2 linked regions of the Danio rerio genome follow. The protein of the gene in region 2 purifies or fractionates together with the protein of the main gene of each other region. This does not show direct contact. Links are inferred from orthologs where the notes say so. Each region holds a gene or a part of one and is shown on either strand. Other genes may lie near its edges.

Region 1 (3,921 bases), on a different chromosome or scaffold from region 2:
TTTGATATATTATTGAGTTATGTGTTTAAATGAGTGATTAAATGAACTCCAGACGCACCTGAACATGGTTACCCTGATGAAGGCAAATGTTTTAAAAGTGTGCAGGTGCTGTTTTTAAAGAATAGCCATGTTAATAAAGACTTTTTCAAATTTCTTCACTTACTTTTCAAATGCCTTGGACTTATGATTTCGATGCATAACTCATTCACATTTGACAACAGAGAAAGAAAGAGCCACCACCTGGTCCCCGCGGTGCTAATAAGAATGATGAAGAAGAAGATGAGGATGATGATGATGACGACGATGATGATGATTCTGATGACACAGAATCTGATGAGGAGGAAGAGGAGCCAGGATCTGCTCCAGAAGGGTAGAGCTGCTAGCCATTATTTACTCACACACCGTCTGCTGAAAGGAGTAGAATTAAAAAAAAAAGTAAAAAGAAAAGTAAAGTTTCAGTAATAAATTTAGTGTTTAGAGGATTATAATACAGTATCTACTTAAAACCAAAAGGTATTTTATCATTTTTTTTGTGGTGAAATAGAAAGACAGAATGACTGACTTAAATATTTTATTTACTTTTAGCTAAATGAATAAAAGTGATAGATTATTTGTTGAAAATGTATTTTAATGATAGTACTTGGTGCATTATAATACATAATCTTCTCAAAACCAAAAGGTATTTCAATTTTTTTTGGTCTTTATATTAAGTGGCCTTAACTACATAGGAACTTACATGTACCTACATGTACTTACGTTGTTACAATGTACTTATTAAGTAAATACATGTATTTACTGTGTACTTATGCTTGATTAAATACATGTATGTAATTACATCTGTAATTAACTTTTGTAATTACATTTGTAAATACACTGCTGACCATTCCCTACACCTTAACCCACCCTTAAACCTACCCATGCCACCAAACCTGTCCATAACCCAACCTCTATCCCAACTCAAAAGCACCACAAGTGTTCTCAAATACATTATAAACACAGTAAGTGCATTGTATTTATTTTTTTGATGTAAGTACATAGTAGTTAGGGACACTTAATATAAAATGGGACCTTTTCTTGTGTGCGTGTGTGTGAAAATAATGAAAGAGAATCACTGATATTCATATTTTTTTTTCTTTTAGCTAAATGAATCAAAATTATTGATTAGTTGTTGGATATTGTGTATTTTAATAATGGTATGTGGTGCTTTATACTACATAATCTATACTAAACCAAAAGATAGTTTATGATTTTTGAACATAATGTACGTTTATTTATGCATTTATGTATGACTCTTCATAGTGCTTATGACCCGGCTGATTACGAGCATCTTCCTGTGACAGGCGAGATCAAAGAGCTGTTTCAGTATATCACAAGGTCAGCATGCAACCACTTCACACCTTTACAAGAAACAGTGTTTAAAGGAATGTGACAAAGCTGCAGTGCATGCTTATAAGCTGAATTTGCATTTACATTAATGCTAACATTAGGGCTATAGTTATCACTCTTGGTGAATGAGCCTTAACACTGTAAAAAATAATATTATTGTGTCATAAAACTTTAAGAATAATTCAAACATTTTGAGCATCTAATAATTATTTTTTTTCAAAGGCATTATCTGGTGAAAATGATTGTGAGTTTTAGAATTAAACTCTTTTAATTCTGTCTTTTGTAATATGTCGTACATTTAATTTTATAAAATTACTGCTTGATTGAAAATGATAAACAGATCATTAGCAATTAGGTAACATGATATTTATGTACAGTTGAAGTCACAATTATTAGCCCTCAAGTAATTTTTTTTCAAATGTTTCCCAAACAATGTTTAACAGAGTAAGGAAATTTTCACAGTATTTCCTATACTATTTTTTCTTCTAGAGAAAGTCTTATTTGCTTCATTTCGGCTAGAATAAAAGCAGTTTTCTATTTTTTTTTTGAAAACCATTTTAAAGTCATTATTATTAGCCTCCTTTTTTCGATTGGTTACAGAACAAACATTGTTACTCAAGGAGATGACTTGCCTATTTACCCTTACTTTCCTAGTTAACCTAAATAACCCAGTTAAGCCTTTAAATGTCACTTTAAGCTGTATAGAAGAGTTTAGAAAAACATCTAGTCAAATATTATGTACTGTCATCATGGCAAAGATAAAATTGATCAGTTATTAAAAATGAGTTTTTATATACATGCTTGGTGACCCCTGTCCCTTAAGCCACATGAATAAAGCTGAATCACAGTGGATACAGAGCTGTATCATGCTGGGCAGATGAGTGATTGTTAAAAACTGGAAATCTTCCAGTTGACCTCAATCTTTGAGTGGATCTCAGGGTTAGGACAAGTTGCAGCTTTTGAAAAACTCTCCTACAGTTTACATGGAAGAATTTAAATTTATTTTGATAAATGGGTAAAATTTCAGCGACCCAAAATGTTAGCAAACATGTAACGAGACAAAATAATGATTAAGGCTATGATATTAGCAACCATCCCCCCCACCCCCCCCCCCACCTTTTTTTTTTTTCTTTTTTTTTACTTCCCTTTTTTCTTGTATGTCTTTTGGTTTGGTTTACTTACTCAATTTATATGATGTTATTTTTTTATTGAATTTATTTATTTTGTATATATTTTTTAAGTTTTTTAAACAATTATTTTTAGAAATGTGTTGAAAAAATCTTCTTTCCATTAAACAGAAATTGTGGAAAAAATATACAGGGGGCTTATAATTCAGGAGGGCTAATAATTCTGACTGTATAAAGTAATTATTATAAATACAGTTATTTAAATATAATCACATTTTTTAAATTTGTAAAAATAAATATGTAAAAGGTTTTTAAGACCATTAAGTTATCATCTTCAGAAAGTAAAAAAAAAATAAAATCTTGAAGAAACAACCAAAACAAGGTCATTTCACTTTTTACTGGTATTAATTGTAAACTGTATTCTTTAGATACACTCCACAGACGATAGAGCTTGACCACAAACTGAAACCCTTTATCCCCGATTTTATCCCAGCTGTGGGAGACATTGATGCTTTCCTCAAAGTAAGTTAAACATCTCACACTTGAAGCACTGCTGCATTTCCAGCTTCATTATACATTTTCTCTTTGCGTTTTACAGGTACCACGGCCTGACGGAAAGCCTGACAATCTGGGTCTGCTGGTTCTGGATGAGCCGTGCACTAAACAGTCAGATCCGACAGTGCTTTCCCTGTGGCTCTCAGAGAACAGCAAACAGCACAACGTCACAGTAAGTCTTCGCACGCACTAGAAGACTAATGAAGACACTTTGAAGATTGCAGCCTGACAACTAAAATAACACTGTGATGCACTTCTCTTTCACAGGAAGTGAAAATTAAGAGCATTGAAAACCCTGAGAAGAACCCTAAAGCTATAGAAAACTGGATTGAGAGCATTAGCGAGCTGCATCGCTCCAAACCTCCAGCTACAGTTCACTACACAAGGCAAACACTAACAAAAACATCCAGACAAACAAATCACAACATGTATGTCAATTTGTAACCAGAGTCTTGTATATATTTCTTCAGGCCCATGCCAGACATTGACAGCCTGATGCAAGAGTGGCCGTCTGAATTTGAGGAACTTCTGGGGAAGGTTGGTTCTCGAGTAATACGTTTTACTGGAAATACCCTTGTTATGCTATTTTAGGATCTGTACACTTTTGTATGCTAAAGCTTGTTTTATAACAGCTATATTACGAAAAGACATCACCCAGCAAACTATTTTGGGTTTAATAGACGTCTAATAGACATCTAAGTGTAGACAGCTTGGTTTATATAATAAGTTTATATAATATGATGATGATCTTATTTTGCATTTACATCTTATAAGCATGGCTGTGAAGAAGAAAGTAGGGATAAAGAGTCAGGAAAGTAAGACTACATTAATTCTCGACCTTGAGTAAAGTCGA
Region 2 (4,653 bases):
CCAAAAAAAGATCTCTTGGAATTAATCTCAACAGCTGAGCGGCTCTGCCCAACACATAGAGACCTAACACGAGGAACACACTGCTGCACAGTTTATCTAGGGACAACAGAATACAATAATGTGTTAAATACAATTCATCATTCAAACAGCTTTTCTCATTCAGAAAATAAATATGGGAGAAAATGTGTAAAATTATAAAACAGTGTTCAAAAGGTTTTTTAGGTTTTATCTTAATATTGAGCAAGAGCATTAATCAAAAAGTGACAATAAAGGGTTTATTATTGTGACATAAAATATCCTTATAGTAAATGCAGTACTTTTGTAAATTCAAGTCCATCAAAGAATCCTGAAAAAGTATTATGAATTGTAATATTTTAATATTACTTATTTGCTGTAAATAATACAACTTTGGTGAGCACTAGGCATGGGCCGGTATAAGATTATGTTGATATGATAACCTTGGATAAAAATATTGTGATTACTGCTCTAAAATATATTCTTTTTAAATGTCTTAGTAAAAAAAAAAAAATTTCCCCCTTTCAATACAATATATTTTTTATTTTGAGAACAATTTAAAATATTGTGGGACTGTAAACATGTCAGGCTAAATAAATGAAATGAATGGACTTCTCTTGTCTTCATTAGTTTCAAAAACACTGATTTATTTACGATTTCGAACAGCATGTTTGGATATCTATTCTGCTAAAGATACTGTTGTCTTAAAAAAAATAATAATAATAAAAATTGAATAAAACAATCCTCCATATACCGAAGGAACAGTATTGCAGAAAATTCTGCCTTGACTTTTTCAAAGCAGTTATCATTCATTGTCTAGTGAGCACAACCGACTTAAAAGACTCAAAAGACTGAAGATTTTTCATATAATAATAAGTAACCACATTTATAGCATAAAGAAAAAAAATAAACATAATTAGATCAGCACAGATAACCTTAAACCATAACATTGACTATAAATGACTTTCATGTGTCAGACATTGAGTTGTGTTGAAAACCAAAATACTTAAAAATCACCGTTTAAACTTGTAAAAACCAAAATAATTACTCTCTGGTTTTTGTAACATAACGTATTTTATGCCCTTACAATGGTTTTACTATACATAAAACAATAAACAGAGGTAATTTACTGTGACTAAACATAACAGTTCTGGCAACTAGAAATCAACCATGGTTTGTACTTTGAAAGTGTGGTGATGATAATAATTATTTGTTTTCCATTCTTATTGTTAACACACACGCATTTATTATTAATTATGTTATTAATAAAGAGTCAGTTTCAAAGAACCAGCAAGAAAAGCAACATATCTTTTCGATTGGAGTAACGTTAGATATGGAGTCGTTTCTTCTCCGCTCCAGCGTGTGGCAGCACTGTCAGACTACACACGGTAACATTATAAAACTCTTAGCCAAAATCAGATTTCGGCTCGCTGCTTTTTTTCTATTCAATAATTATGCATAGTCATTGATTATTGATTATTTATAGCTTTCTGTTTATTATCTGTGACTATTCAGTAGATACTTTTACTTTGTTTGCTGTCATGGCCGTCGCTGTGTGTGACGTCATTCCTGACGACAGTAACTACAACATCCCGAATCCGCTGCTGCAGAATAGCCGTGTATATATCTGTCTGTATTCGTACCTGCAGTGTTAATAAAAGCTTTAAACTAATTTCCCTTTGCGAGTAAAGATTGTTAAATGTGAAAAGAGAAAGAGAGAGGGATGGCGGAGGAGGAAGAGCGCGGTCCGGGCTCTGTCTATCAGATGTTCGTGTTGATGGAGGATCTGCTGGATAAACTGAAGGTTCTCGATTATGAGCAGCACGTTCTGGACAAACACAACATCAAACCTCTGTCCAGGTAAGAGAGACTCGGAATGTGGATTAGAAAGTATTTGATGTAAATAGCATTACAGTTAAAGTGAAATCTCTCATCATGAATTTAGTATCGGGTTTTACAAACCTGGATGAGTTTTTTTCTTCGGTTGGACATATAAGATAACATTTTGGACAACATTGGTAAACGAGTAAAGTTAGTTTCTGGTCCCCATTCACTTTTATAATATGGAACCTGTAAGAAAATGAACGTTGCAAAGTAGATAGAGTTACTTTTTAGCCGTCAGTTTATAGTAAAATCCACTTATCATATATTATCATAAAATGAAAATTCTGTCAACATTTACTAGAATGATGGAAACTATATTGACAAAAATATTATCAGTCAGTGGCTGTTGCTTTCCAACATTTTTTATAATATCTTCTTTTGTGTTCACACGTTTAAGACCTTTAAATTAATATAAGTTTAATAGTAGAATAAGAACAGAAATAGCCGTTGCTATTTTTATTTGTTGTACACACAAAAGCATCTCTCGCAGATTGATAAAATTCTGATTGAACCACTGGAGGCGTATTTCTGTTTTAAGGATGTTTTTTGTTATTTTTCTGGATGACTCAGAACCATTGCTGTCTATGGAAGATGAGAGAGCTCTCAGATTTAATCTAAAATATCTTATGTTGTATTCTGAAGAGGAACTAAGGTCTCTAACATGTCAGGATAATATACTTTTGAACAATGTTTGAAGAAGTTGATATCAAAGAGACTGCGTGTTATAACGTAGACATCAGAAAAAGTAAATAAGAACATCAGAGTGAGTACAGTGCTCAGTGAGTACACCACATTTTGAAAATGTATATATCTTCAGTGAATATAGGCAATGTGTTTTGGTGCATTTAAACAAAGCAGATTTATTAAACAGATATATTTATATAAATAATATTTTGCTCACCAAACATATTTATAAACTGAAAGATAATACAATTAAATTCAAGCAAAATATTACAAAATTTCAACTAAATTTTATTTTCTTTTTCTTGTTTTTGCTTTTTAAAAATTGTATTTAATATTTTTCTATAACATATACATTTGGTTGTACTAGTTTTATTTAGTTACATAAGTTCTAGATTTGGCTTCAGTACTGACTAATCTAATGTATATGCACAAATATAATACTGTATAGCTTCCTATTCAAAATATAAATTTAAAAGATAGATTTGTGAGGGGTGTACTTATACATGCTGAGCACTGGAAATAATGACTGATTTTTCATTTCAACTTTTGCCTTAATACTCTGTATTTTTCAGACATTATTTTGTCTCCAGCCCTCATGTGTTGTCAAATCCCGGTGAGCAGTTCTATATGTTCAGTGTAATTGCTGCCTGGTTGATTACATTATGCGGGCGACCGTTCGACACACCACAGGAGTATGACGACCCCAACGCCACAGTCTCCAACATCCTGTCTGAACTTCGAACCCTGGTGAGGCGATAACACTGATTACACCCTCACAAATGTGTATGGGTGTATGCATTTAGGTTTATGATTATCATCTGTATGTGATTTGTAGGGAGGCCAGGTTGATTTCCCCCCATCTAAGCTGAAGACTGGGTCTGGAGAGCATGTCTGTTATGTTCTAGACCAGCTGGTAGAAAAGGCACTAAAGAGTAAAGGTTTTGCCTGGAACAGGTACACATATATTTAACAGCACACACTATGGGCAGGGGCGGGTTTAGCGAATCGGGGACCCTAGGCAACTTCAGCCATGGGGCCCAAGTCCTGATGCACCTTTTCTACTTTTTTTTATTTAAATGTATTTATTTTCTGTAACTCAATCTTCTTTTTTTATGGTTTATCTTAATGCAATCTTTACAACCTTTACATACGATAACAAATATATATATATATATATATATATATATATATATATATATATATATATATATATATATATATATATATATATATATATATATATATATATATATATATATATAATCATAGATTTACTGCTGGACTGCTCCATGATAGGGGAGCTGGATATTTTGTTTCATAATATTAATATTACAAAACATTACATTATTAAAATAATATAAGATTTTACTGTATATTAAATAATATTTAATTATGTACAAAATATCTCACTATACAAAATATGATAGAAATTATGTTTTATATATAGTTTATAAGTATAATCTATACTTCTAGATATTTATTGGGGCCCTAAGCGGCCACTTACCTTGCTTATTGGTTAAATCCGCCCCTACTATGGGCTTGTTTACACTTGGTCACTTCATGCGTTTTTGCTGACTGCATAGCTATCTGATTTGTTCAAATAGTGCCATGTACATTTGACCACATGAATGCATCTTCGCTAAATTAATATGATTCCTTGGATATCTTCAAATCTGCTCTATATACAAATTTAACTAGTTTATGTTGACTAAAGCATCTGATACATTTTATTTTATTTAAATAGTATTCGCTTTTACACAAATCTAATCTATATTTTTGATTCTGGATACAAATGCTTTTATATGTAGGCTCCTGGAGGCTTTGTGTTTGAAACATCCTCATAATAATAAAAAATAAAAAAATTGCATGAAGTGACAAAGTTTAAACCACACATATGAGCTTACAACAGGTTGAGATCATTTTCTATGGTGGTTTAGGGGCACAGAAATCTTTTAGAACCACGAATTTGTCTAACTGTCTGTTCTTACTGTATACAAACACATCTAGAGCTTGTATTCTCTGTCTGTCAGGCCGCTGTACCCATCAGTGGAGGTGGAGGATGAGTGTGTG

Evidence for each region. The genes of interacting proteins can lie anywhere in the genome.
Region 1: the proteins of ift57 (region 2) and ift46 purify together in Homo sapiens (affinity purification with mass spectrometry; 3 studies listed by BioGRID and IntAct, counting the BioPlex papers as one, with this or other methods). This does not show direct contact. The link is inferred for Danio rerio from reciprocal best matches to the Homo sapiens genes IFT57 and IFT46.

Annotation. Positions count from the first base shown.
Region 1 is NC_133185.1:34,663,809-34,667,729, reverse strand, and holds part of ift46 (intraflagellar transport protein 46 homolog), read left to right. Parts: exon of another isoform or gene 1-221; coding exon 222-370; exon of another isoform or gene 371-408; intron 409-1,299; coding exon 1,300-1,374; intron 1,375-2,941; coding exon 2,942-3,035; intron 3,036-3,111; coding exon 3,112-3,240; intron 3,241-3,335; coding exon 3,336-3,454; intron 3,455-3,538; coding exon 3,539-3,605; intron 3,606-3,921. UniProt on the Homo sapiens protein: Forms part of a complex involved in intraflagellar transport (IFT), the bi-directional movement of particles required for the assembly, maintenance and functioning of primary cilia. May play a role in chondrocyte maturation and skeletogenesis.
Region 2 is NC_133177.1:45,211,970-45,216,622, forward strand, and holds the start of ift57 (intraflagellar transport protein 57 homolog), read left to right. Parts: upstream 1-1,600; 5' UTR 1,601-1,738; coding exon 1,739-1,875; intron 1,876-3,155; coding exon 3,156-3,330; intron 3,331-3,418; coding exon 3,419-3,537; intron 3,538-4,613; coding exon 4,614-4,653. UniProt on the Homo sapiens protein: Required for the formation of cilia. Plays an indirect role in sonic hedgehog signaling, cilia being required for all activity of the hedgehog pathway.